Linked DNA regions of Coturnix japonica. The protein of the gene in region 4 binds, or shares a complex with, the protein of the main gene of each other region. Links are inferred from orthologs where the notes say so. Each region holds a gene or a part of one and is shown on either strand. Other genes may lie near its edges. The genes, in order: MYBL2, LIN52, LIN54, RBL1, CCNA2, TFDP1 and LIN9.

The links.
Region 1: RBL1 (region 4) and MYBL2 share a complex: the UniProt entries of both Homo sapiens proteins name them as parts of the DREAM complex. The link is inferred for Coturnix japonica from reciprocal best matches to the Homo sapiens genes RBL1 and MYBL2.
Region 2: RBL1 (region 4) and LIN52 share a complex: the UniProt entries of both Homo sapiens proteins name them as parts of the DREAM complex. The link is inferred for Coturnix japonica from reciprocal best matches to the Homo sapiens genes RBL1 and LIN52.
Region 3: RBL1 (region 4) and LIN54 share a complex: the UniProt entries of both Homo sapiens proteins name them as parts of the DREAM complex. The link is inferred for Coturnix japonica from reciprocal best matches to the Homo sapiens genes RBL1 and LIN54.
Region 5: the proteins of RBL1 (region 4) and CCNA2 are in contact, whole or in part, in a crystal structure (PDB 1H28), measured with the Homo sapiens proteins. The link is inferred for Coturnix japonica from reciprocal best matches to the Homo sapiens genes RBL1 and CCNA2. Residues at the interface, in NP_002886.2 of Homo sapiens: Gly654, Ser655, Ala656, Lys657, Arg658, Arg659, Leu660, Phe661, Gly662, Glu663; in NP_001228.2 of Homo sapiens: Met210, Ile213, Leu214, Asp216, Trp217, Glu220, Glu224, Arg250, Gly251, Lys252, Leu253, Gln254, Tyr280, Ile281, Thr282, Asp283, Thr285, Tyr286.
Region 6: the proteins of RBL1 (region 4) and TFDP1 are in contact, whole or in part, in a crystal structure (PDB 5TUV), measured with the Homo sapiens proteins. The link is inferred for Coturnix japonica from reciprocal best matches to the Homo sapiens genes RBL1 and TFDP1. Residues at the interface, in NP_002886.2 of Homo sapiens: Tyr1004, Phe1006, Asn1007, Ser1011, Leu1014, Ile1017, Asn1018, Ile1021; in NP_009042.1 of Homo sapiens: Pro260, Phe261, Ile262, Thr290, Phe291, Glu292, Ile293, His294, Asp295, Ile297, Glu298.
Region 7: RBL1 (region 4) and LIN9 share a complex: the UniProt entries of both Homo sapiens proteins name them as parts of the DREAM complex. The link is inferred for Coturnix japonica from reciprocal best matches to the Homo sapiens genes RBL1 and LIN9.

Annotation. Positions count from the first base shown.
Region 1 is NC_029535.1:3,097,544-3,101,263, forward strand, and holds part of MYBL2 (myb-related protein B), read right to left. Parts: intron 2,900-3,720; coding exon 2,760-2,899; intron 1,779-2,759; coding exon 1,679-1,778; intron 1,081-1,678; coding exon 967-1,080; intron 404-966; coding exon 287-403; intron 1-286. UniProt on the Homo sapiens protein: Transcription factor involved in the regulation of cell survival, proliferation, and differentiation. Transactivates the expression of the CLU gene.
Region 2 is NC_029520.1:34,236,866-34,241,204, forward strand, and holds the start of LIN52 (protein lin-52 homolog), read left to right. Parts: upstream 1-1,388; 5' UTR 1,389-1,480; coding exon 1,481-1,499; intron 1,500-1,586; coding exon 1,587-1,661; intron 1,662-1,756; coding exon 1,757-1,794; intron 1,795-2,315; coding exon 2,316-2,382; intron 2,383-2,880; coding exon 2,881-2,964; intron 2,965-4,245; coding exon of another isoform or gene 4,246-4,259; exon of another isoform or gene 4,260-4,339. Other genes in the region: ALDH6A1 (methylmalonate-semialdehyde dehydrogenase [acylating], mitochondrial), read right to left, coding at 25-99, 943-1,002, 1,136-1,186.
Region 3 is NC_029519.1:41,209,079-41,212,798, reverse strand, and holds part of LIN54 (protein lin-54 homolog), read right to left. Parts: intron 1,833-3,720; 5' UTR 1,798-1,832; coding exon 1,105-1,797; intron 1-1,104. UniProt on the Homo sapiens protein: Component of the DREAM complex, a multiprotein complex that can both act as a transcription activator or repressor depending on the context. In G0 phase, the complex binds to more than 800 promoters and is required for repression of E2F target genes.
Region 4 is NC_029535.1:560,299-564,018, forward strand, and holds part of RBL1 (retinoblastoma-like protein 1), read right to left. Parts: intron 3,530-3,720; coding exon 3,480-3,529; intron 3,474-3,479; exon of another isoform or gene 3,302-3,473; intron 3,295-3,301; exon of another isoform or gene 1,810-3,294; coding exon of another isoform or gene 1,754-1,809; intron 904-1,753; coding exon 717-903; intron 74-716; coding exon 1-73. UniProt on the Homo sapiens protein: Key regulator of entry into cell division. Directly involved in heterochromatin formation by maintaining overall chromatin structure and, in particular, that of constitutive heterochromatin by stabilizing histone methylation.
Region 5 is NC_029519.1:48,272,225-48,276,470, reverse strand, and holds the start of CCNA2 (cyclin-A2), read right to left. Parts: upstream 2,999-4,246; 5' UTR 2,984-2,998; coding exon 2,849-2,983; intron 2,746-2,848; coding exon 2,529-2,745; intron 2,204-2,528; coding exon 2,091-2,203; intron 1,783-2,090; coding exon 1,559-1,782; intron 1,032-1,558; coding exon 827-1,031; intron 1-826. Other genes in the region: BBS7 (Bardet-Biedl syndrome 7 protein), read right to left, coding at 3,624-3,760. UniProt on the Homo sapiens protein: Cyclin which controls both the G1/S and the G2/M transition phases of the cell cycle. Functions through the formation of specific serine/threonine protein kinase holoenzyme complexes with the cyclin-dependent protein kinases CDK1 or CDK2.
Region 6 is NC_029516.1:123,705,174-123,708,893, forward strand, and holds part of TFDP1 (transcription factor Dp-1), read right to left. Parts: intron 2,540-3,720; coding exon 2,418-2,539; intron 2,143-2,417; coding exon 1,977-2,142; intron 1,808-1,976; coding exon 1,661-1,807; intron 1,001-1,660; coding exon 932-1,000; intron 1-931. UniProt on the Homo sapiens protein: Can stimulate E2F-dependent transcription.
Region 7 is NC_029518.1:14,868,714-14,872,433, reverse strand, and holds the end of LIN9 (protein lin-9 homolog), read right to left. Parts: intron 3,499-3,720; coding exon 3,316-3,498; intron 3,206-3,315; coding exon 3,108-3,205; intron 1,925-3,107; coding exon 1,819-1,924; 3' UTR 538-1,818; downstream 1-537. UniProt on the Homo sapiens protein: Acts as a tumor suppressor. Inhibits DNA synthesis. Its ability to inhibit oncogenic transformation is mediated through its association with RB1. Plays a role in the expression of genes required for the G1/S transition.

The DNA.
Region 1 (3,720 bases), about 2.5 Mb from region 4:
CTTTTTCACAAGAATTTCTGTTCATCCAGAGCCTTTAATCTTCAGTCCGTGACTCAACCTACAGCCCCTACACCATTCTTGAACTCTGGATCCCACAGCCCTTGATTGCTAGTGTTAAAACAAAACCTATTTCTGCTGTTTTGAAGGGCTAAAGGTCCCATACTTGCTAAAGACAGAAAATGAAAGCAGTAGTGGTGCTAGCACAACACACATCTCAGCAGCTAAGTTTGCCTCTCAGCCCTGCTACAGTCAGTTCTACCCCTGCTCTGACTGCAGCACTCCTCACCTGGGTTCTTTTGAAACAGATAGTTTTGGGGAGGGCTGGCATATTTTGTGTCATATCTTCATCCACGATATCCAGCGCCAGTGACTTCCGGACCTTCTTAATGGGACTCCTACGCAACTGGTGAACACAAATACAAGTGTGAGTATGAATCAACTCAGTGAATTCCCATCTTAAGGGCCAAGGGTGCATTCCAAGCCCACAAACCCCCCTGTATCTGCATTGCACTAGCACCTCAAAAAGACACATTGCCTCCTTCCCCACCACAGGGCACAGCAGCGTCTAGTGTTCCCCACACTGGCACTAAGAGACACTGATTTAGAAGGGGAAACTCCTTCCAGCAGGAGGGGAACATCACATCACCTGGGCATACAGAGCCAAGAGACTTTTGGGCCCGTGGAGCCCAACTTGCCACAAATGTTGGAGGACTGCCCTAAGTCTTTCCTTGCATGTTAGGGAGACAGCATCTCTTGGCACAGCCCTGAGTTCTGCATAAACCAGGCCACAGCTGGCAGTATTTTAAGCAGGCCTCAGGCATACAAGCAGATTCACTCACTAAAAGGCAACAACAACACACTGAAAAACTTTTTGGCATAAATAGTAGGATGAACAGAGCCAGCAAAAGCAGCTCTCAACAGCACAGGGCAGCCCAAAAACAGATACTGAAAGCGAAACCACTTCACCCCTTGTTTCCTTTTCTGTTTCTCAGGCTTCACGTCATCCTCAATAATAAGTTCAATGCCAGCTTCACTTCGGAGCACCTCTTTCAAGTCTTCTTCCAGGTGAGGAGTCTGGGGCTGATGCAAGGAAGGAGAAAGAGCACAAGACTGTCACAGTTTGTACATCAGGCAGACTTAGAATTCCCTCAGTGGATAATGGGGCCAGGGTAACCCACAGGAGCTAACAGTGGGAAGACAAACATTACAAATTATTTACTTCCCAGCAGGAAAAGATGTATTTCTGTTAGCTTGACAGATTGACAGGATCTCCAGGCAAGGGAGACTCTTACCAGCTGTACCCCAGATGTGCCATTGTGTACTGAAGGCACAGTATACTTGACACTGCTATCCCCCCATATTAAGTCCTCGTTAGAGATTTAGGGATGTAATGTTTCCTTGCTTTCCCTCAAGGTCACAAATAACCAAGCACTGAGGCCATATTCAAAAGCTGTTTTGGGTTTGGAGTTTTTTCTTTGCTCCTTTGCCAAGGAGCTAGAAGTCCTGTAGCTACTTACCATGACACACTTGGTATGACAAGGTCTCCATCCCCCTTATCTCAGCCCAGCATTACCAAAACTGAACCATGTTGCTACTCAAATAATGGCTGGCTCACAGCTCTGCTGCAATCTACCCCATGCAAAGCCATCAGCAAGCAACAGACCTGTCCAGTACGTACCAAAGGCCTAATTGGTCCATATTTTTCCAGGGCATTTTTGAAAGGTGTTGGGGTGTGTGGAGTATTGTCCACCACATATTTCTGATCTGGTGTGACAAACCTGGCAGTAGAGAAGTAAAAAAAACTAAGAATCAGATATGCTGTAAATCACAAAGCAAACCCCATCCTTCCACTCACACTACACAAACCACCCGCAGAGTCTCACATGGTGACTGCAGAAGCCATATGTCTGGCTGGGGCATTCCTGGGACGTATGAAGGGCCAAAGGCTACCAAGGAACCTTCAGTAAGGAAAATATCTTAGAAATACCAGCTATGCTTCTCCACTCTGCCAGCTACCAAGCACCCTTATCAGAAAGTTGTACAACACCTGCAATACTGGCATGACAGATCCCTGCAGGCCAGCGCTACTTTGCAGTGCTTCTGCTAGCAGAGTTCCTCATGGCCAGCCAGAGCTTTGTGACCAGTGGAAATCCTGGTGCAATTACACTTGGAGCATCCAAGCCAGTTCACACCAATGGGATGTGGTTGCTGCCCTGGGCCCACACCAGTTTTTCTAGCACAGCCAGCACCTCCACAAACTGTGTTGCAACAGTATAGTGACATGCAGAGATAGGCCAGCCAGCAGAACACTCCCTGTGCAGGACACCCTCTCTCACTGGGCTGGGATGGTGCCTCAAGATCATTGCCCTGGACTGTCCCACAGTTCAGAGGGTGCAGAGCTAAAGGGAAGGGGACCTGAACAGCCCTTGTTGAAAAGACCAAATCTCTTTGCAGCTGGCAGAGGGCTCACAGCATGGCAATGCTTCCCAAAGATGCGCACGGAAGGCAGCAGCTGACCACACAGCTGAGCACAACAGCAGTCATTTGGCTGAGGTCCCAGCCAGATGGGACACTTGTTCCCTGCAGCTCACAGAGGAGCTGTCTTTGGGTGCCACATTGATTTAAGGAAATTCCCCAGCCTGCCTTGTCACTCTCAGTAGTGCCAGCAATGGGGAACGTTTGTTTGTCTTGAATCAAACTCCTGTGTGAAAAAGGACAATGCTCAGGTTGGGATGGGAAAGAAGAAATACAGGACTTACGCTGAGTTTTTCTGGAGCAGAGGAGTCTTGTCCCTGTGCAGAGGGGTGGTGACAATCACCTTCTGACTGCACACAGGTGTGGAGGTAAGAGATGGGTTCTCCAGTTCTAGTGTATCCTGTTTGGTCCAAAAGTTTAAGAACTGCGTAACATAGGTAAGAAAGAGGAAAACAGTCAGTCTCAAACTTCCCAACATGGTGTCCAGTGGCTAAAGTGGGTTCTTTACAGTAGATTACACAAGAAAGCACCCAGACAGATTTTGAAGGAGAGTCTACAACTCCTGTGGGCAGCATGTTTCATAGAGAAAATATTTTCCTCATACTCATATGGAACTTCCTATGTTCTCAGATTAATTCCAGGCATCTCAGCTTCTCATGGCAGAACTGTACTATTCAGGTCTCACTTTAATTCCCCAGTTCTTGATGGCCTCGTATTCAAGGTTGATTTGAACCTGGGTATCACAGCCCTATGGTGTTCTACCACGTTCCACCGAGGACAGCAGAAACACCAGAAATATAAAGTCCTGGAAGGTTCAGCTAGTGGCACAGGGAGGCAGAGTGTGAATGACAGAGAAGCTGTAGAAGTTTTGCTAGATGGCACAGAAGTGCAGCAGGATTTATCCTGTCTTACTGACAGAACTTCACTGTGTCAAGATAGGAATCAAGGGGTCTGAATGCCATAGCACTGCAGTAAGGCATTTGTTGTGAGACCAGGTATGGATGCTACCACAGTCATAGTAAAGATGGGAAAGACCTAAGCTTACATAACAAAGACAAGGCCCATGAGTACATCCCTGTGCCATCAACTCACAGATGTGCACCAGCAGATGCTGTCCACACAGATGACAGTGCTAAAAATAAGGAAGAAAAGCAACATGCACTGTCACAGCACTGCTATCCCCTGCCAGTAATGCCCACACACAGCACCCTGGACAAGGAAGCACTGTGCTCTCTCCTGCAGTAG
Region 2 (4,339 bases), on a different chromosome or scaffold from region 4:
ATGAGCAGAAGCCATTTCACTTACAGGATTGTGGATATCAATCCATTCTGTGGTTTTGGACTCGACAAACTTCCCATCGATGAACAGTTTAGTTGTTGGCTGTGGAGGACAGCACAGTGAGTGATCTTTCCCTGAAAGTGCACACATAACAATGTGCCCTGTTATGTGCAGGCTTTTGCTATTTCCCACTGTACTCCATCATTTTTTTCCCCTTGATTTAGGCTAAAATTGTCAAAACCCCGTCTAAAAACTATTACAGAAGATACACATTGATAGAATCATGTTCAGAACTATTTTAATCTACTCAGTCACTACAATTGCTAAGTCATAAAAACCCTGCAGTTCACAGACATATTTAAAAGAAACCAGTTAATAATTCACTTGGTAAGAATTCTGCCCATTAGTTAAGGAGTTCAGGTAAGTATGGAGAAGAAAAAGCAGGGGTAGAAGATGCAGTTAGTGCTGCAACATGCAGGAAGAACTGGGGCCATATAAGTGAAGAGATTGGAATATAGTGCCAAAGGCTTTGCTGAAGTCTAGGTAGACTGTGCCAACAGCCTTTCCCTCATCCACCGGGCAGTTCACCTGGTGAGGGCAGGGATGCTAATGCTGCTGTGATGGTGGGAGAGGGATCAAAGGACGAATCAGGAAAATAAATGGGGCTGAGCCGGACAGGTCACGGCTGCGAAGAGTGTAATGGATAAGCGAGGCCTCGGCTTGTGAAGGAACGCGGCGGTGGGTTAAAATAAGAATAAGACATGACAAGTGCTGATGTGGCTGGCGTTACGGCGGGACGAGCCGTGCCGCGGGCTGCACTCGGGATAACACCATCTTCAGAACTGAAGGGAGAGCAGGAAATCCGAGCTGCTCCTCGGCCCGGCGGAGCCACCGCCGCGGGCCCCTCCAGCCCAACAGCAAACAGAGCTGCCCGGCCCCACTCACCACGGAGGAGGAGGAGACGGCGGCCGAAGCGATCCAGGGAGCCCCGGCTGTCCGCGGCAGCTGGATGTGGACACAGAGCAGCCCGGTTACACGGTGCTCCCCTCCTCCTCCACACCCCCCACCTCCTCCCCACCGCCCCCCGAGGTGCCACCCGCGGCCCCTCCCGCAGCGCTGTGTCCGTGTGCCGCCTCACCCTGAGCACCACGCGCCGCCCGCCCCAAGCGCCACGAGCCACCGCCGCCATCCCGGCCGAGGGTCACAGCGCTCGGACCCCGAGCGGAGCCCCCAGCACAGGGACCCGCCCCCGCCCGCTCATTGGCCAGACGAGCGCCCCCCCCGCCCGCTGTACGCCCCCCCCGAGGGGGCCTTGCCGGCCGCCAGCCAATCGCTGCCAGGGAGAGCGTCGCCCCGCCCCTTTCCCGCCACCGCCCCCCCATCCGGGGCAGCGATTGGCCACGAGCACTAAGGCGCTCGGGCTCTGTTGTCACGTGGGTGGATTCCCGCGGGCTGTGGGTTTAGGTCACGTGACGCAGGCAAGATGGCGGCTCCCGGTGACGGTAAGGCGCGCGAATGGGGTCATCGTCACCCTGCGGTACGGTCTGAGCGGGCGCCGCTTCACCTCCGTTCTACTCCCTGTGCTGTAGGTGCCGATCTGGAAGCCTCTCTGCTGAGCTTCGAGAAGCTCGACCGGGCTTCTCCGGACCTGTGGCCTGAGCAGTGTGAGTGAGTGCGGCGGGCCCGTGTCGCTGGGGTGATGGCGGGGCTGCCGGGCCGGCCCCGCGCTCACCCGGCGCTGTTCGGTTCTCTCTTGCAGTGCCCGGCGTCGCCGAGTTCGCCGCCTCCTTCAAAAGCGTAAGATGCCAACACCACGGCACTGCGGGTCATACAGGCACTGCGGGAGGGACGAGCTGCGCAGGAACGCGCTGCTCTAAGCCCTGGGGGTGCTGCTCTTACTGCTGGCTTTGGCTGTGACTTGCAGTAACACCCAACTCGTCCAGGAAGAGCTTTCTAGGCATTAGAGTAGCCCTGTAGGGTGCCTGGAGCCATCGCGTTTATTCTTTCAGTGTAACTGGTTGTAAATAGGTGACGGAGCACTGGAACAGGCTGCACAGGGAGGTGGTGGAGTCTCCTTCTTTGGAGATATTCAAGACCCGCCTGGACACCTACCTGTGTGACATGGTGTAGGGAGCCTGCTTTGGCAGGGGGGTTGGACTCGATGATCTCTAGAGGTCCCTTCCAACCCCTACAATTCTGTGTGTGTAAATGCTATATCAGGCTTTGTATGCAGCTAAAAATGTACTTCTCTGAGAATGTTTTGCTTTTTTTTCTTCCTTTCTTTTTGTTCTTTTTCTTTTTCCTCCCCCCCAAACCAGCCTATTACAAGCTCGCCTCCCAAATGGATGGCTGAACTGGAGAATGATGATATCGATATGTTAAAGGGTGAGTATGGGCTCCATGGGCACTGAGGCTGTCTGCGGGTGGGAATTCAGTGCCTACTAAAAAGATGAGCTCAGAGACCTTCTGAAGCCTTGTGGAAAGGAAGGGATGGGGGATGCTCCTCTTAATCTGCAGACCATCTTAACCTGCAGAACATCTCCAGTTGAATGATTCTGCTTAGGAGTCTTTGTCTTGTCAATTGCCTCTATCTTTAGTTGGTCCCACAAGAATATATACTGATAACAAAAATGCTGTTGTTCTCCTTGTTACTGCTTTTTGAAGCAGTAAATCCCTGCTGTTTATTTTTTCTTCATTTTTTTTGATTGCTTTGGAACAGTTAGAATGTCTTGCTGGTTATTATGAGTTGTGAGAGCTGAAGAACATATGCTGTACACTGTAAACCGATACTGTTCAAAGTATAACTTGAATGCTCTGTGAAGCGATAAACATAAGCTGCCACTAGAGGGCTACAGTGTTAAAAATCACGCTTTTTCCTTTTAGAGCTGGGAAGCCTCACTACAGCCAACCTGATGGAAAAGGTTCGTGGCCTGCAGAATTTGGCATATCAGCTGGGACTGGATGAATGTGAGTTCTGTGCACAGATGTGATGACTGTATTATGAATCTTGCCACTGAAGTGTGTGTTTATGTTGCACTTACAGTCAGAAAAGTACGTTTGCTGAAGTGGGGAATGTCACACAATTATGACAGTGCAATAGAGAATTTTCTGAAGAAAAAAAGAGTGCTGCTCTAAGCAAGTCTATCATGGATGCAGTGGAGCCTAATAGAGCACATTTAAAAGAATTTCTTATTTTAGGTCTTGTTTTCTGTTTTGAATGCTAAGGTCCAGTGTTTTCTAGTGGCCCATCAATTTCTGACTTAACTTTGGCTTAGGTAAATCACTCAGTTTGCTTCATTTACCGCTTAGGTGCTAACACTCTGTCACAGAGTATCTGTGCCACCACTTCTGTGACTGTGCGTTTGTGTACTGCCTACAGAGTGAAAATGTAACTGGTGTGCAGGATTCTGTTAGCCATTAGTGCTCTTGTAACTTTGGGCTTCTGCAGTTATTTATTTTCCATAGTCAGCTATAGCAGGAGGTGCTGTCACTGCATTCTAAAGTTGACCTTCATCCTGCTTACCAACAACCAATTTATGTCAGTGCCTTTTTTGAAGGGGGGTGGGGGTGGGAGTGGGGGTGGGGATGGGGGGAAGATGCGTTTTTTTTATTGTCATTGCATATAGGATTTTGTTGTTAATGTGCTGATCCGGCTTTGAAGATTCCAAAGGGATTGTGCTTCCTTTAAACAGTATCTGTGTGTACTGATGCATTTAACTTTTACTGCTTTATTTTGCTCTGTCTTAGACTTCAGTTTTAGCAAACTCTTGAGCTTTACATGAGGCTTTGAAAATTTTTAGGCTCAAAGATTTTTTTCAGCTTTATTTCAGTGGGTAACAAAAAGCAGTTGAACTTTGAAGTCTCGTGATTGTGAGCCTGGAATACATATTTCTTATCAATAGATCATTAAGCCTGTTTGAACACTCTCTCCATAGGTAGAAATTTACTTTCAGTGCCAACATCTACAAGGATTGAATAAAGCTTTTAGTGGAGTAGAAGTTATACTTTAACAATGGAAATCTTAATCAAATAATAAGATTGGCTGGTGGTTTGCTTTCTCGATTTATATAACGTCTCACTGTATTTGCAATTTATTTTCACCAAAGTCTATCTCTGTAACACATTGAGTGCTTTGTGTGTCATGACGTATACATGTATGTTAGGAAATCTTCCATATATAATTAAATGCTGAGTTTGACATGGGCTCTCAGCACTGTTTCTTCCAATACTGTCTTTTTCTCTTTGCAGACCTAGGTTATTAAGAGAACAAGAAGAAAAATCCCAAAGATCTGCTCATTAATATTAAAGAGCTTGTGCTTTTGTTTCAGTGGTATATAATTTG
Region 3 (3,720 bases), on a different chromosome or scaffold from region 4:
GACTTGAAAGCTGTAATGCCAACAGTATCATTAACAATGAAGGTGCAAAAATAAGAGCAACATATGTAACAGATATATTTGTGAAACATTTTTTCTTTCGAATACACTGTAGCAACAAAGGAGGTAAAGCAGAAACAGGTGCAAGGATCATCTACTGATTTAAAACAAACTATCACAGTCACACTTGTTCATGCTTGCTTAACATGGAATACTAACTGTAGAATGTACCACTGCCTGCAGTATACTTAAAAGTCATTTTTTCACATGCAAGAAATTTGGTTTAGCTTGTATACTTGGAGCTTCCTTTCTCATTTTACTCAACCATAAAAATGATTATTTTCCACTACAACCTCCACTGAGTCCCAGCTTTCCTTTCGTGACTTTTTGATACGTGTCTCATCTCCATTTAGAACAAAGTCATTCGTGTTCAGTTCTGCCATGTATCAGATATCAGACCCCTTTGGCTAACAGCCCACGTCTTTTCAACATATTTTCAGATCCCTTCAGATTCTACTTTCAATTATCAGAAGATCTACATCTGAGGCAGCAAATAGCACTTAGAAGTGTCCACCTTACAATATAATCTAGCTGATCAATATACACTGATAAGCTTAAGCAGGTTTAAGGCAGACAAGATGCACCGCTTTTGTTCCTTCTCAAATGCATTAAGGTTCTTCAGAGACTTTACTTCTAACAAGCTAAGCTTAAGAATTTAAGAAGCTGGTTGCTCTTGAAATGGGAAAGCAGCGTGCACTTAGAATAAAGAATGGTAGTCATCAAGAGTTCAATTCATTCTTATGAATGCATATAGAGTTTATTTTTATAAAATGAAAACAATGGGAAAATTCAATATAATGAATTCTGATAGTTAACTTTCTCCGAGGCAGACCCCTAAGATTCAAGACAGTAGCTGGGAGATAAAAGGCATACAATTGTAAATGCATTCACAGATGGAAGAGTGGGCTAAGAGAAGCACTGTGCTTTTATACAAGGAAAGGAAAGGCTGAAAGCAACCTTTCAGTGTGTCAGCCAGTGAAGGAAGCAGACAATAGTCGCACCAACAGAATCATTTTAAAGAGGTTTCATCAGCATAACTCACTTTACCTGTACTGTTTTTAATTGCTGTGTCTGCAAAACAGAAGGCTGGGCAGCAGTATTTATCAGCTGACTTCCTTGCGTTAAAGCTGAGACACCAACAACAGGTTTCACTTCTGACCGACCTCCAATAACAACTTTGATCTGCTGGCCTTGTACCTTGGAGTCTCCACCTTGGGTCTGGGACACAGTCTTCTGCGCCTGCGGGAGCTGGCAGCGAGGCAAGGCTAAAACAATGGGTTGGCCAGTCTTGCCCAAAGCTGTTACAATTAGCTTTTGCCCATCAGGTTTAATGCTCTGATTGCCTATTTTAAGGTCAGTGGTCTTGTTCAGAATAATTTGATTGGCTGATATAGTGACCGGAGTCTGAGCACCAAGTTTATGTAGACCACTTTGAAAGGCAGGCTTTACTATTGAATTTCCTTCAGTTTTTATGGTTGTGGTGCTTGCAGTCACATCGCCCGAGTGATTACTGGGTGCAGTAACTGGTTCTGTGGTGACTGTGGCTGTAGTCGTAACCGAAGCATCATTGGTGGAGCTTATGTTCACTATTTCTTCCAGTTCTGTTTCCATGGGAATAGAATCTCCCATTGGTGAAGACACGATAACCGCCTCAATGCTGTCATCTTCCACCAGAGTGATACCAGTGTCCATTATTTCCTCAGGGAGCAAGCTGTTTACTTCTGCTGAAACCACCTCCATGTTAGCAGTTGTGGCAGTGATGACTGTAGCAGGTACTGCAACAATAATAAAAATAAATTAGTGGCTTCCAAAAAAAAATAATACACATTTCACAAAGGTTTATGAATAATATTATCAAAAGAAAAACGTACAATAGCAGAAAACACAAAGTATTGTGTGTATGCAATGGAGGAATATCATGGAAAAAGAAAAAGCTATCAAATTCTAACACATTTGACTGAGTTTACTTTCACTAAGAATTTACACCAAAGCTCTTCAGTATCGTCCATTCATAAATACAGGCACCGACTTTCTTCTGATTACCAGTCCACCTCTGGCAATTTAGTACACCTAAAGTAGCGCTCCCCTCCCCCCAAGATGGGTACCTTGCTCACACAGATATATACTGAGATACAGAGCAAGAAGTAAAAAGCTACACAAGTCCAGAAGATGATGACCCATTTTGTCATGTGTATCAACACCTACTAGTAGGGTGCTTTGCCTCGGAGACTTGTTTTCCACTCTAGATGCAACAGGGGTTCACTGTTGTTTTCTCGTTTCAGAAGTCTCATGCAAGCAAACAGCTGTCTCTGTGAGAGGCTTTTTTAGCCCCAGAAGCTCAATCGACAGGCTACTTTTGAGACCAAGGCAAAACTCATCCCTATTTTTCAGTGGATTAGTATGAACGCCCAACTTATCTACATTAAGTTTTACATGACAAACCTTGAAGACATTGCTGGAAACAGCTTCACTTATCACTTTCACTAAAACTGCATCACTGTCAGACTAAAAACAGATGCACTTATTACAGCACTTCCTTCATTTGCTGACCCCATCAGTATGCTTGGATACTACATGGGAGAGTAGGTGGCACACACTCCACAATCTTGAGTACTTCTGATAAGTGCAAGAGGACAAGATCCTCGTGTATCCAGCTTCCTTATTTCTAGGAAAAGCAGACAATTTGAATGTAACTAGGTGACATATGTAATTAAGAAACTATATTGCTAAAAAAAACATACTAAATGCTGGGGTAACAACTGACTCATCTGGGGTCATTGTGGTTGGATTTTACAGGGTGGTAGGTAACCATAGAACCGCTGCATTTCACCCATGAAGTAGAAGGATGAGGGAAAACCAACCTGCTACAGTCTACCTTGTTTATACGTTGAGCTTAGAAGGCCACATTATACTAGTCACTGGGCCCTACTGATCTCAGTGGATACCATCCTAGTTCCACTCAGCTCCTGAGTACAAGCTGTATCACACTGCTAACTGATATTCAAGCATCTTCAGCTGTGTAAGAACTTGTTCAGACAACCTACAGTCAAACGCATACACAGCTCACTTATTGGCAGACATTTAGATGTCTGTTTTCTGATGTCACAGCCAGAAATACCTCCTCTTAGAGAGTGTTTATCCCAAAGTAATGCCAGAACAGCCTTAATTAATGCCAACCCTCATAACTAGCACTAGACACAACACCTTACACCTAAGGACACACCAGTAATGTTAGTATCATGTTGCTGTCTCGGAGTCAAAGTGGTTAACTGTGTACAAGGTAACAAAAAAAATGGAATAGGAGTAGTGGATTATTTTTGCATATGCTAAGCCTACTAACACTTTTTTGGGTTGTGCTGTTTTATTTTCCCTTCAAACTAAACAGGACTGTGCCTTAAACCTTACAATTCAGGGCTATTCTGCATATAAAAAAAAAACCAAACATGTCATTCTTATCCTGAAAGGAAGAAAGGGCTTGGATCCAGATGTTAGGTTCTTAAAGTCAACCACAAATACATATGCTCATATACTTGAAAATAAGAGAATCATCTAAATCAGGCAATGGAAAAAAAAAATCAATTTAGTATCAATATACTATTTCAAATGATTTAATTTTGGATTGCATAATTATGTGCTGTTCCATTTAAAAAAAGGTCAGTCTTA
Region 4 (3,720 bases):
GAGTGATGACAGCTTCCTTTTCTTGTAGGTACCTTCTTCCAGTCAGAGGTGTTGAAGGTGCAAATGACCTTTTCTGTGAGAGAGATGGATAATCAATAAAAAAATCTAAGAGAATTGGTGCAAAAAGAGCAACTCCTGCAAAATCACTTCTAAGATTTAAATAGCACCATTAAAACTCTGCCAAGGAAGGCTGCCAAATCCACGCCCTCAGAACTTCAGAATAACGAGTTCCTCCTCCTAATGCTGGGCTCCCTTTCTCCAAGCTGTTACTGGGAGGTGTGAGTTAATTCCTTCTGATATCTTTTCCTATAGCGCCCATTTCTCAAATAAAGGCTCTATCATTGCCCTCATTTGCCCTATGAAAGGTTTCATGGTATTCTTACTGGGTATAAAAGAAGCACGAAATAACTCTGTGTATGGAGGTCTCAACTACCTAGACATTTCTCCTGGACAAAACAGCAGTAGTTCACAGGCTCCCACCCTGCTTAAGGAGCAGTTATTTACTGCATTACGTAACAAAGATGACACCACAATTTCTCTTAGCAAGACTGCCCGATTAAACCTACAAATGTCTTTCACCTCCTTCATCCCAGTGAACCACCCAAGGAAAGCAGCTTTTCCAAGTCGGCTCAGGGATTTAAACTGCGTACAATGATAGGAAAACTTGACTCCAAACTTAGGAGTACTTCCCCATGAAAACAAGTTCCACGAACCACCTTTTCAAAGTGCTGCTGAAGGTGACACTCCACGTGAGCTCTTGCTGCTGTTTTCCCCATTTGCAAATCTGCAGGAAACTTTCGAGGAGTTCCAATTTCTTCCTCTGCATCCGCTCCAAGGAAAACTCTCTCGTCAAAGTCACCCACTGTTAGAACATACTCCTCATATTCTTTATTCAATGCTTTGCTGGAAGAGAAGTCAAAGTTTTACAGTGAAAGTTAAGCTGCTGAACAAACACATAAACTGAAGCCAACACAAACTCAAAGCTTCTAATGCTCTCAGTAACAGCAGTGCTTGTACATGGAGCTTCCCTACACGAGCAGCCTGCTTACAGCCCCTCCTTGGCTGCCTTCAGCTCCAGGCTTCCCACAGCAGTGCACTGCACGGCCTGTTCTTCTCCCACCAGTGCTTCATGGAACCATAGAATGGATCAGGTTGGAAGGGACCTTAAAGATCGCCTTGTTCCAAGCTGCTCCCACCATGGGCAGGGATGCCCACACAGTGCACTAATCTCAGACACTGCTGAAATCATGGCAGCAGGCTCCACAGTTGAATTACTTCACACACTATCTACCTATCTATCTATCTAGAGAATCATGCTTTTCTGGACAATTTTCCCATCTGCTGATCCAGAAATTTTAGATTGAAACCTGCCAAATGAAGATGCATGTGCTTCAAACACCATTAACATGGACATCTTCAGAAATCTTACATTTCCCTTATTCTTTCCTAAGGAAGTAGAAAAAAGAACTGCCTTTCTTAGATGATAATTAGCATTAAATTAGTTCCATGCTCTCTACTGTGTGGAAACAGGAGAAATCCTCCCAAATGTTTTGAAAACCTAGTAGATAAACATGGAATGTGGGACCATGAGGTACTTGGTGACTCACTCTAAGGCTGCCAAAGCCTTTTTCCCAATTCCCTTCTTGTACCCATTCCCCTCTGTGCTGCAAAGTGAACAGATAGAAAATTTCATAGTAATGTGTAAAGAAAATGGAATCACTCTGGACTGGGAATGGAAAGAGATGTACTGTACCAGTGCTGGTATTCAGGGAAGTCAGATGATTGCACAGGTTGGGTTCTGAATTGCATGTGAAGGTGCTGTGCCCATGCAGTGAGATGACACTTGTTTTTGGAACAGAACTTGGAGACACCTGTGAGATGGAGGGCAAGTCCTTCAAAAGGAAGGGAATCTAGATGTGAATGGAGCTGCCTCCATGGCACAGGAGAAGTCTAAGTGCAGGATATAAAATGTTGACAGAAATTCCCAAATCAAAACAACTGCAGGCTGACTGAGCTCCATTAACATCAGGTAGTGTTGTATCTGCCAGGTCCCTGCTGCTGCTCAAGTTTCCTAGCAGATTCTGATTTCTTCACCACGAACAACTTAAATGAGTTGAACTCCAATATGTCCCACTGTGAAAACTCACTGAACAAAAAACTCATCCTGATTATAAGTCACTGGGCTCACACAGGGAGAAAACGTGCTTCTACCCCAGGGACAAACAGCTTTGAAAGAGCCCATCAGTAGTTAAAGCTCTGTCCAAGCAGAGCAGCAGGGGTTGCATTAAGTGAACTAATTCTGAGCTCTGATTTGGCTGCCTGGCGCTCAGTGGCATCCTCCCTCAACAGCACAGAGGAAGGGAAATTGAAGCTTCAATGCCCCAAGTCGCCACTGACATCCATGATAGTGAACAACCCCTTTGGTTTCTCAATTCCAGCCAACCTGTGCGTGGAAGAGGAACATTTAACCTCTCAAAGGCTGCGGAGCCTTCTGTTTGGGCAGACATAGATTGGTTTCCTCAGATATCATTTAATAAAGAATAGGGAACACTGCCTTATTTGGCACAACAGGAACTATCAATACTATCACTCTTTAAGCAGGAACACTAGCACAGCTCACTGCTCCATAGGGATCAGGGCAGCACCTCCACATCTGAATGCGATCCACACCGTTACAGCGGTGCAGTCACTGCTCACGCTTCTCAGAAAGCAAACAGACCAGCTCAAACCTCACCCTGCAATAATGAATTATCAGCTGCGTTTGGCAGAGGAAGAAGCTCTTGACAGGATCCAGAACAAAACAGAACAAATCTTCTCATTTAAATTAGTTTTGAGACTTAATGTCAGAAGCTCCTGCACAGATTCACTTACCTCCCCTGAAACCTCTGTGCTTTTTTGTGGTTCTGCAGCTGTTGCTCCTCTTTCTTTTGAGCTCTCCCACTGCATTCACAGATTTAGGCACTGAACTGGAGACTAATAAACAACCCTAAATACCTCCCTATTCACATACAAATATTGAGGTATGCATAGTTAACATATCCATGCACTTCAGAGCTTTGATTTGCATCAGACTACACAAAACTTAACAGCTGCCAGAACAACACAGCGTTATCTATGCTGGAAAAAGACCCTAAAGATCAAATTCTATCCTCAGGCAGCACTATGAGCCCACCACTAAACCACATCCACACAACTGCAATATTCCGGTAGGGATGGGGAGCTCTGCCCTGACCTGAGCAGCTGCTCCAGGCCTGAGCACCTTTCTGTGACCTGACATTAAGGAAGAAACTCTGTAGCTCACCCTCTGACACTGGAGCCATCTCAGACCCAGGAGGCATTTAGGCAAGTAACAGCATTGGTTCTCAAATCACCGCAAGCAGTGAGACAAAGTAAGACATGGAAAAAGTGAGAGTTAGCATTCAGAGAAACTGAAGAAACAAAACCCAAGTCCATGATTAGAACCGCAATCCATAACTTACTTATTTTCTGTAAAATTGCAAAGATCCAACAGACATTCTCCTTTTAAGATCTAAGAATAAAAAAAAAAAAAAAGAAAAGAAAGCAGAAACATCTTACATAACAAATCAAAACCATCCCACCTCAACAATGCGACAGCAAGTCGGCCCTTACCAAAAGCACAAGGAGCATTAAACAGACCTTTCCTTTAGCCAAGACCAAAGCAGCACAATGCTGCTGGTAAGAGGCACAGGCCAGGTCAAA
Region 5 (4,246 bases), on a different chromosome or scaffold from region 4:
ACAGAACCTTCAGCTGAGACACTGTTTGTGCTCTGCTGAGAAACTGGCCTCTGGATGTAGAGCTCAGCGCTTGTGGAGGGGAAAAATAAAAACCCTTCCTGCCCAAGTGAGAGGGCAGGTGCACGTGTCAATTTTAGACAGGAACACAGGGAATACCTAACAGGGAAACAAACCCCAAACTAAAATGCAGCAGTCTTGGCCTGCTTTGAGTAAGCATTCATGTGGAGCCAGGCCAAGTACCAGACTGTAACAGTAATGGAATGTCTCAAAGAGCAGCAATGACACTATTGCTTCCAGCAGTACAGATCTGCTTCTGGAGGAGCCAGAGGCACATCATGAGCACTTCTCAGATGTGTCCCAGAGAGATCACACACTTGAACATATTAGGAGGTGGAAAAGTCCACTCTAAAAAGCCCTTTACCACTGGTCTGTACAAATACAGCTGTAAGGTGGAATGATACAAAGATGGTAACATTCAAAAGGTTATTTATGAGGAAAAACTCACTGATATGGATGCCTTCACTGGGAAATGCTGAGGCAATCTCCACCAAGGAGCAATCTCCACCAAGGAGCAATCTCCAAGAGATGCTGCCCTAGTGATGGTCAGCCCTTAAATGAGGTCTAGAGAAGGTGGAGTCAAGCTCCATCCCTTCCTGGAGCACAGCTAAATTACTCTCACCTGTGCTCCCACAGCTGCCCCAACACTTGCCTCAGCTGATTAACCAGAGGTTCAGGCTGTGATTACCAATTTCCCATACAACAGCTCTTGTAAAATGCATTAACAACAGAACTCTACAGTTCCACAGACTGAGCTAGTAATCCTTACCATTGATAAGCTCTCAACTTTAGCGTTCGTCTGCTGGTGCAGGAAATACTGAGTGAGGAACTGGTTGATCGTTGGAGCTGCCAAATCAAATGACAAAACCTTCAAAATTAAGTGCTCCATCCTCAGAACTTGCTTCTTGTTGTAGGTGTCATCCGTGATGTAGACAAACTCTGCTACTTCAGGGGGGTAGATTTCCTCAAACTTCCTGCCATGAGAAACAGAAGCAAACAGTTAGGGACTAGAGAACCAGGCCACCAGCAACACTTCATTAAAACCAGTGTGCTGAACTGTGTGCTGACTTCCAAAGTAGCTGGATACAGTGACTGAGCAAGCTTGCTGCACTCAGGTTGATAGGTCTCAAATCACCTGAATTTGAAGTTAAAGAGTTTCAACAGCCTGTTATTTTGGGACTAAGTAATTTAGAACTTAAGAGTTACTGAAATTCCAGAAGAAAACTAAATAGCTTTTTCATACTCTTTCTTACTATTGCCTTAATTCCCTTGTGAAGCCTTTCACTCCTACATCTGGAAATCCTCCCATTAGGCCAATCTACAAAGACAACCTGGAATCTCACTTGCAAGGCTTCACATGGGCTGCCAAGCTTTTGTATATTTCAACCTATTACAAAGCCCTTACTAAACAATATGATTACAGGCTATCATATGAAAGCTACAAGACTTCCATCACTATGAAACCAGTAGGTGTTATTTTCCATCAAGAACTTTTACTTACGATGCGAGCAGCATAGCCGCAGTACCCACAAGCTGGAGCTTTCCTCTCAAAACAGACATTGAAGAAAGAAACCTGTCAATGTAATTTACAGCTAAGTGCAGAGTTTCATTCTGGAGCTTGTACTCTTCTCCAACTTCCACCAGCCAGTCCACCAGAATAGCTCGCATGTTGTTGGTGATGTCAGGCTGCTTCTTCATGTAGCCTATTTTAGGCTTGCATTTTACCTGTGGGTTCAGATGACAGACAAGACTGAGTTTGGATTGGGTGCCTGCAGGGAAGCAGTCACTCATACTCCCATTTACCATACCCAGACTGTTTTTAACAGGTCACAATAAGCAATGGTCAATCTGGACTCAGAAAGTTACATCTGCATCATGTGCTTTGTGGCTTGTGCTCAGTGCAGAGCGCAGCCAACCTCCCAGCAGGAAGCAGGGGGACTTACTCCTAGCTTTACTTCAGTCACTGTGGCAGTAACTTATCCTCAGATACACTCAGCCCAAATATGCGAGCAAGAGAACGGGTGGCATCTCACCTCCATTTCCCTAAGGTACTTGTGGATATCGCTGACATAGTCTGGCACATTGTTAACGTTTGGTCGCTCTTCTGCTTCTGAAGTTATGGAGATATCCATGATACTCGGGGAGTCTAGGAGAAAGGCCTCGTTAGAAGGGGCCCGGCAGAACCCCGTGCAGCAGGCGCGATGCTGTTGGCCGGCGGGAGGCCACGCAGGGGGGCCAAGCAGGCCCTGGGGAAGCCGAACCATGGCTCAAGGAGGAAGCGCCCCGCTGTCCCCACTAAGGAAGGGCCGGGAAGCCCTTTCCCGGCTGCCCAACACACTCCCCCCTTCCCTCCAGCCGAGCCCCGCGCTCCAGCCCCGTTCCTCAGCCTCAGGCCGCGTCCCGCCGCCGGCACCACATCGCGCGGGCCGGGCGCTCGCCCCGGGCGCGGAGGGGGCAGTGCCGCCGCTTACCGAGGCTGAGCTCCATGGCGTTGCCCAGGGGCGCCAGGGGCCGCCGCTCCCCCAAGGTCCCGAGGGCGGCCCGCAGCCCCGGCGCGTCCGCCGCCTCCTCATCCCGCTCCTTCTTCCTCTGAGGCCGCCGCGGCTCCTCGTCGGGCTCGTCCACGTAGACGCTGAAGGGCTGATGCCGCCCCGCCGCCGCGCCTCGGCCCTCTCCGTTCCGCGCCGCCTGCGGGAGCGCTCGGTCAGCGCCGTGACAGCCGCCCTGACAGCTGCACAACGCCCCAACATGGCGCCCGCCCGCCGCCCCCCGCCAAAGCCCCGCCGCTCACCTGCGCACCGAGCCCGAGCCCCGGCCGCGCCGGGCCGCCCCGCAGCAGCCCCAGCGCCACGCGGGTACCGGCGGCGGGCGGCGGGGCTTTGGCGGGCGGGGGGACGTTCTCCTGGTTCTCCTGCTCCGCCAGCATGGTGCCCGCCGGGGGGGGGGAGAAGCGGCCGAGGGGGAAAGGGCCGGGGGCGGCCGCGGAGCGCGGATGTGCGGGTGTGTGCGGGTGTGAGCCGGCGTCCCGCCGCCGCGCAGTCTCGCGGCCCGGAGCCGCTGCCGCCGTTCGAGCAGCCCGCGACTATTGAATCGCCCAATCAGCGGCCAGGCGTCACGCGGGCACCAGCCGCGCGGGGGGCGGGACCGGAGCGCCGCAACGCGCATGCGCAGCGCACACCGCGCGCCGCTTGGCCCCGCCCCGCCCGGTGACCGCGCAGGCGCAGCGCACCACACCACAGCTGGGATTAGAACTTTAATTAGCTTTAATTACAAACTCGCAGCTTCAGGTACAGGATCCTAAACGTACTTTACAAACATCGCTCTTACATTCCTACCCTCTGCATCGTCTCTAACTGTACTGAAAGTACAGGAAAAAGGCCGGTGGATACAGCTGTCTGTGTATATTCAGTGGAGGTGTGAAGATTGCTGTGTGCAGCACTCTATATATATGGAGTGTCCATTCTAATATATATATATATATGAACTCCAGTGCCTACTGCCCTCCCCTGGCAATAGGCAGCACACTCTGCACACACACACTGCACACACTGCCCGTCCTGTCCCGCTCAGGACGCGGCCTCAAAGAAGGCGAGCAGCCGGTCCTGCTCGCAGCCATCCAGCAGCTCCAGCAGCAGAGGAACTTTGCTCTTCACGTTGGTGCCTCGAAATTTAAACTTATCGATGAAGAGATCAGTGATCATACCTGCAAAAGTCAAATGTCTGTTGTCAGTACGACCAGCAACCAGCTTAATTTCCACGTGGTTATTTCTGCCTCACACGTGCCTGTCTCTGAATGGAGGAAGGAGCTGACCTCACAGAGCAGGCCCTGTATGTGAGGACAGGGAGCCCCTGAGCTGAAAGCTGAACAGGGAGCTCTACAGAAGGTTACAGACTTTCCTTCACTCAATTAGTTCCTCTCCTAAGATCCTCCCCTTCCACCCCATGTGCATTTGTCTATTATTTTGTAACACCTCAATGCTGGGAACTCCATCAGTCAGGTATACATACATTCTTAAGCTCCACCCCAACTCACAGCCCTCAGTCTTGCCAAAAAAGACAAGCTTAACGTACAGATGTAAAAAGCTACTGAGGTGTATCAGCCTATCAAATCATCTCAGCTCTACTAGTGCTGACCTCATAACTACTTCAGCAGCATCCAGGTTGCGCTCTCTGAGCGTTAATTTGCAGT
Region 6 (3,720 bases), on a different chromosome or scaffold from region 4:
AGACTGCATCTTTGCTGAAATTACATGCTTCTAACAGTTAAAGTTTGGGATGTGAATGTCTAGTATTACACTTCTGAAATGTTCAGCTAGGATTTGTAACTTCACTCTTGAATTTCCTCGGAATGCAATTTCCGCATGAATGGATTGTTTGTATTTTAATTCTTCTGTTTGTTAGTCTTTGAAATTATTCTAGTTAACTACTAAAACCCAATTTACATTAATATCTTACACTAAGCCACCAAACTAGAAATAGCGTGTTTCTGGTCATGGAATACAATGAAATACATGGGAATTCAAATAAATAAATGAAAATACAAAGCCAACAGAGGCTGGTAAAAATCAGATAGTTGTGGAAATTGCAAATCCACAATTGCCTTTTCTTTCTGCACGCCCTTCCTGATTCTCATTCTTACTGAATACATAACACAATACATTACAGTGAACCAGCAGTACAGGGACTCAGGGGATTACTGCTTCCTACAAAATACTAGGTGGAATCTGGAAAGGAGCTCAAGTTGCAATTTAGCAACTGTGCCAATGCAATTAAGCCACCTACAGGGCAGGGCAGCAACGTTCAAGAAAGGCAAGACAAAGATCATCACAAGAGATGACCTGTTAAAGTCAAGCTATTTTATCTGAGGACTACTGCAGAAAAACATTCATTGTACAATACTGAGGAGTACAGTATGAATTATTGGTCCTGTTAACGCAAATTTTTTTTAAACATACAACTACAGGAAAAAACCCATCATGGCTCATAGAAGGTTGCTGCCTTTGCCATAAGCAACAGTCAACACCATGGTCCCAGTGCTACCTTTATCCCAAAATTAATCTCTAGCCTTCTTAGAGGTCTCCCATTCCCCAGTGGGACAAAACGAGGAATGCAGATGTAAGTTACCTTGCCCTATAGACAAGAGTACCTTGACTGTACCTGTAGAATGAGTTCTTGTAGTTGAGATTGTTTTTGCTTTATTCTTTCAAGTCTTCTCTGTTTCTCCACCTTAAGACAGAGAACAAACTGATTAGTTTGTAGGTTTTAAATAGTGTTTTCTATCAACATTTTCTCCCCTTAAACTGTTTAAATACCAGATAAATGAAGGCAACAAGTGCATCAGTCACTAATGCACTGCAGAAGATGCTGAGATCTACAAAGTCTCACATCAGTACTACCAATGGAAACTGTAACAAAGAGAGGAGTTAAGATATCCAGGAATAAAGCAGAATATAGAAGGAAGAGCATAAAAACATCTTTGTAAGTGGAAGCTATGCCTCAAAGAGTTACCCACATTCTAGGAGGGAGGCAAGGAGCATGTAGACCAGAATGATCTACTTAGTATACCCTGCTGATATTGGAGCTATCGGAGAAGAGAAAGATACTTAAACAAATGAAGCTGCTTACATTCCCACAGTACTAAGCACTGATTAGATCTGCTGCATTTTATACAACTAAATAGCAATATATATATGTGTGTGTATATATATATATTCAAGCAATCTGGAAAATTCAGATGCATATTGCATAAACATAAATTAAAAAGGAAGTCAGAAGGGACCAAACTATTCTACTTTTTATCTCAGAAGATCGTATGCACATGTAGAATAAAAGCAAATCCAAGTTTTTATTCAAAACAAATCCATTGTGAATTTCCTATACATTTACCTCTAAATTCTGACATTCCTGAGCCGAGTTTGTAGGTAGACCAATCCATTTGATTTCCTTCTTCTCCTTAGAGATAATGTTCATGGCCATGAGGACATTTAAGGCATCATAGACACGTCGTCTAATATTCTTCTGGTCATAAGCCTGCTGTAGACATAGAGCGTTAATCAAAAACATGCCTGACAAAAACGTCTGAAAATAAATTACAGCAAATGTGTAATCTTGGTTATTATCTGAACTGTTTAATTAAGCAATGGGAGAAGAAATCTAAGCCTCCCCACTCAGTTCACACGTAACTAACCTCCCATATACTCACTGATTCATTTGGTGAAATGTGATCATCAGGGGTAGTGAATTCTGCAACCAGCTCGTCTGCCACCTCATTGTATGAGGTCGTTCCTTTTCTTTGTACCTTCTCACAAACCTTCATAGAGAAATGACGTAAACCTGTGCCGCTCTTCTCTCCTTTTCTGTTCCGTTTCCTAAACATACATATGATATGTTTTTTAAGAAGATTTGAACTTTTGGAATACTTAACATCTCTTTTCCAAGCACAGATACAAAAGTCCAAGGTCTTCCCTTTTATTCTACTCTTCTCCCCTTCCCAATGTCTTTTTTGTATGATTCCACCCTTGAAGGTAAACAGACTGTCTTTCCCACACTGCCAGCATGAAGAGCATATACACTATCACGGCAAACATTTAGAGCAAAAGTTCTAAGTAATTTATTAATCCTTTGTAACTTTTATTTTGCTCACCCAACAGACCACGGCGAAGAATCTGCAGTCTGGTTTTGTGATACAAAATGTGTGTTAGGTGTATGTGGACTTCCTACCAGGATAGTATTTGGCACTGAAGGTCTCTGAGGTGTACCGATAACCTACAACAAAGATAAAAATCATTTAGAAAATAACCATAACTATCCCAGGATGTTCAGATACTGCATTATTCATGACACATTAGTCAAGAACCAAAAAATGCTTACTTTCTATACACTCGTAACAGAAGCCTTCAACTTAGACACACAAGCACAAAAACCTTCAGACCGCACATCACATGGTTAAATCACTCCTTAAGCAATAATCATTTTTATTTTATCCTTCCAAAATGAGCTTTTCATGCTTACTGGGTTTCTTACAATGCTTCAACTCTCATTTAGACAAGGTCCAAGGCAAACAAAACAAAAAATCCTATCAAACTACATCTAAAGATGTTGCAGTAAATTACTGTTAAAATATAAATGTACAGAACAAGAAGGTTTGAAAATGAGTAAAAGCTGAGAAAAAACAGTGCAGTGTCAAGGAATTGTTTCCTACAGGCAGACTCTCACTGCAGAGCTAAAAACAAAGTATGAGTACATTAGAAGTGAAGAAAAAGAATGGTGTACCCTTCTCAATTACTGAGAAACTACAGCTACACTATAGCTATTTTAGCCTCATAATAATCTGCTTTTATGCTATATGTTTATATCATAAGGCCCATGCTTTCACATAAAGGGTATGGCTCAGATCTTGGTTCATGTATTATGCAAATACTCTATGTGAGGGATAGAGAACCTTAGAAATACAGTAAGTATCCTTAAGAAGCCTAATATTCCTATCAAATATTGAGAAGTCTTCACATAATGAACAATCATATGTTAAGACTATTCTGTTTTTCTATAGAACACAGAGGAATAGATAAATCCTACAGGCAAAAAGGAGCTTCTTCAATGTGGGGTTACTTGCTTTTATTTTAAATAACTCTTTGAAATCTAATTACTCTCACAAGTGCCTTATTCAAAGGTAAACAAGTATGTACTGACAATTAAGGAAGACCCCACAGCCCAGAATTTCAGATTCGTCTAAGAATTATTTAGCATTCTTATCGTCTCCTTAAAAGAAATGCTGATAACCCTAGGCTTTACTCACAAGTTCACAGAAGATCATGACTTTGCATTAAAATAGCACTAAGAGTTCAATAGAATGAAGTCACTGGGACACTGGGGACATTCTAAAATGAAAGCTTATGGATGGAATCATAGAGGATGGACCACAGGATAACAGAACAAATATGGATGGA
Region 7 (3,720 bases), on a different chromosome or scaffold from region 4:
GGGATGGCAGCCCCTGCTGCTTGTTTTCCATTGCACTCTGCAGGGACTGAATTCACTGAGCCACATGGGCAGCAAACAAGGAGACAAAGGTGAGCTGCTTCTCATCAGCACTGTGCACCAGGGGTTCAGTGAGCACCCAGGAACGAGGGGAGGGGTGAAAGTAAACTGCAAGAGGATTTTTTCCCCTCCATGTCAGCAGTAGATCACAACAGACTGAACCTTTGTATCTTATTAAGTTAGGCTCTGGCATTTCTCTCTAATTAAATGAAAACAGGCAGTGTAGGGAACCTTTCTATCCACTTTACCAAATACCACAAAATGAAAGCACTGGAAGGGCCACAGCCATGTTCTGTTACATGATGAGAGGGACAGCTCTGTGGCTAACTCTGGCAAAAGCAGTGTCTGGTGTTTTGTCACACCCCTTGTATGTTTTCTAGGTACTTTAGAACAGCCACTCACCTTGTCACCCTGGTCATCGTGTTTCGCTTTCAGCAATTAACTCCTCTTAAAAAATGACCTGAAACCACGTGCCAGAAGTTTGCATTTTTGTGAAATATATCAACTCTTAAAGTTCAATTTATTCAGTTACAAATTTCACCGAGAATAAAAGATTTATGCATTTCTCTTAATTAACAGAACAAGTTTAGCTAAATAGAAACTCTGCACTAAAGTTTTGCAGTGGCACAATACCAACACAGAATACAGAAGCATCTTTAAACTATACAAAATTTTAAAATCGAAAATAATCCTGTTTACATATTCTTTATACATTAACATATAAAAGGCCTCATTTAATGAGGCATCTAAAGGAATCCAAAACAACTCTACGGCTATCTCTGAAAATCCATATCTGGAAACGATTCATTACACAGAAGCTTTACAAGACTATTTAAACAAACCAAATACACACTTTTTACAAGATTAACATTCCAAAATGTACTCGTAGGCAGGTTGTCACTTTTCATCTTTGCAGTTTACCTCACCGGTTATATCTTATTATAAAAATCTTCATATTTATATATGTTGTGTATGTCAGATAACCAGGAATCTAATTTAAAAGTTGTGCAAAACAAACCCAAAGTTGGAAAAACAGTACGTTTTATCGTTCATTTATATAAAATACCATCTAAAACATTTCTTTTTGCCCCACATAAAGGGTAAAAGCCGCAACGACTCTGTTTTTAGAAAGGTATCAGTTCCATCTTTATATTCCTTCATTAGACTTCTTATATAAGTTATGATAAATTATATGTTCCAACAAGACACTGACTGATCTGTAGACCTGCCCAACATCTTCTGCAACTTTAGTTCTCCGTCTGCAGCCCACCGCTGCTTCTTTAGACCTGGAGCACTCAGCCCACGCCATCACCGTGCCAGCTGGTGGCATCTCAGGTACTTAGAGAAGTGTAGCTTTAAGGAACAAAGACTGCCACATAGCTACTGATGTGAGCCATTTCCTCTTCATCACTTTATCTAACCTACCAGGAGAGCCAACAACAAGAGGTGGGCAGAATTAATTTGAACTTTGAAAAACTAAGTTCAAATTATATGAAAGTACGTTTTCAGGTTTATTATAATAAATGCAATTACTAAGAGGTTACCAGTTAGCAAAACTACTGCATGTGAATAACAAATGGAGAAATTTAATGTAACGCTTGTCAGTAATGCTGGTTTTCTTAAGAAGCAAATACAATATGTTTAAAAGGGTCTGAGAGGTCTTCTTTTCCCTTATCTTCTGGCAGTTAGGGTATTTGTTGAAGCATATATAAATGAAGAGGATTTTCCAGAACTACTTGCTATACACTTGAAAGAAAGTTTTCAGTCTCTGTTGGTGTTATTAGCTGCAAAGGCATGTAAATTTCCCATCTGGCTCAGACCACTCTGAATGTGTGCAACATGGATCTCAACGTTATTCTGAAAACAACTACAAGGGAGAGAGGAAAAAAAAGAAAAGGATTAAACATCTTACATAAGGGTTCCATCTGAGTACTTCTACAAGGTACAAGCAGTCAAATAAATCAGCAGTACATTCCTATCAGTTATCAGCTTGCATTAGTAAATAGCATTTACAAAAACAGTTGCATGAAGTCGAAGTTACTGACTTGGGTTCTTTAAAGATGACTGTAAAGTGGTTGGAGCTAATAAAAGGAAAACATTGTGAAGAGATGGTAAAGTACCCAGACTGAGTACAGTGAAATGGAAAGATCGTCACCTTCTTAGCAGTGTTTCTCAGCCCTTAGTTGAACCCATTCTGACATTTACTTGCAGTGTTGATGACAGGAAGTTGCTTTCTTTTTTTTTTTTTTTTTATTTAAATCAAAATGGAAAAGTGCTATAAAATCCTCCGTTAGAATCAAAAAGCTGCTCTATTATCATTGCAAAAAATCAGTCAATCATGTAGCAATACCAGTGTGGAGGGCATAAGGAAATGCTTAGCATTTCAAGTTTTTGGTTGTTTTTTATTTTTTTTAATTATGTAATTTAGTGACTATGCAATTATGGTTAAAAAACCATGGCCACAAATGGTTGGAGTTTGCAGTACACTCAGGAAGAGTATCACTGTGTACTTGCTATTTTTATAATGCCTCCCCACCTGCTTGTGATAACTGCTGAAAAATGGACAGTGGACTAGAGCAGCCTTTGATCTGACACAATATGGCTGTTCTTTTGTGGTTTGCTTGTTTGTTTCCAGTTAAAATATTGTTAATAGAAGCCAGGCAGAAACTCTAATTGTCTCATATGCCAGTGTGTGATATTCACAGACAAGACACTGATTAACATTAAAAAAGAAGAATATGGAAATTGTACAGAAAATATTCTAAAATAACAGCTGTCAAATTTCCTGCTCTTCAGCCATTTTAGTTGTTGCTGTATCAATTTATCACTTTTTTTTTCTTTAATCAGGTTACTTCACTGATAGGTTCAAACAGAAAACTGCTGATCTTGTACTCTCTAAGAAGATCCCTTTAAATGGGACCACTTCCATAAGCAAGTAGTTACCAGACTAAAACCCTTACTTATACTCACATTCACCTCTAAAAGACATGAACGATTGCATGCTGACACAAAATGAGCAATTAGGAATTAAATATTCAAAGTAGTAGTACCTGATATTTGAGGAATCTATTGAATTCTTAATGTCATTTAGTGAATCTGTTAGTGATTTAAACTCAAAGGAATTCAGGTCACCTCCTTCTGCTAGACACTGCAGGAGAAGAAAACAAAAAATGTTCTAACAGTTCAGCACAAAGAACCTGACAGAGGTCTAATATTGTGGACTTAATTGGGAGACACTATTTTTTGCTATTATTTTACCTTAATCTGCAGTAATATTGCTGTAAGTCTAGAGATAAGGTCAGTTAAATTTTCACTTTCAACACAAAGCTGTCCTGTTGTTGAGGAATTTGCTTGCCTAACAATTTCCTGAGCCTCCTCTTCACACCTCCGCCTCAGATCTGTTGGCTGGTCTGCGGGTTGGAGGCCTTGGTCTGGAGCAAGCTGCACAGATAGAAACAAAGATAAATGAAGATTAAATAATTCCTTCGCATTTAGTGCACATATGAAGTGACAAATGATTGCAATATAGTCCACAGGTTAATATCCTGCTTTATTTTTTCTTCATTTATACACACGCATGCCTAATCCAAAACTGGCCACTGGTATCATCAGAAGTGCCTGCATTCAGCTAAGAGAAACAGGGAAACAGAGACAACAAAACAG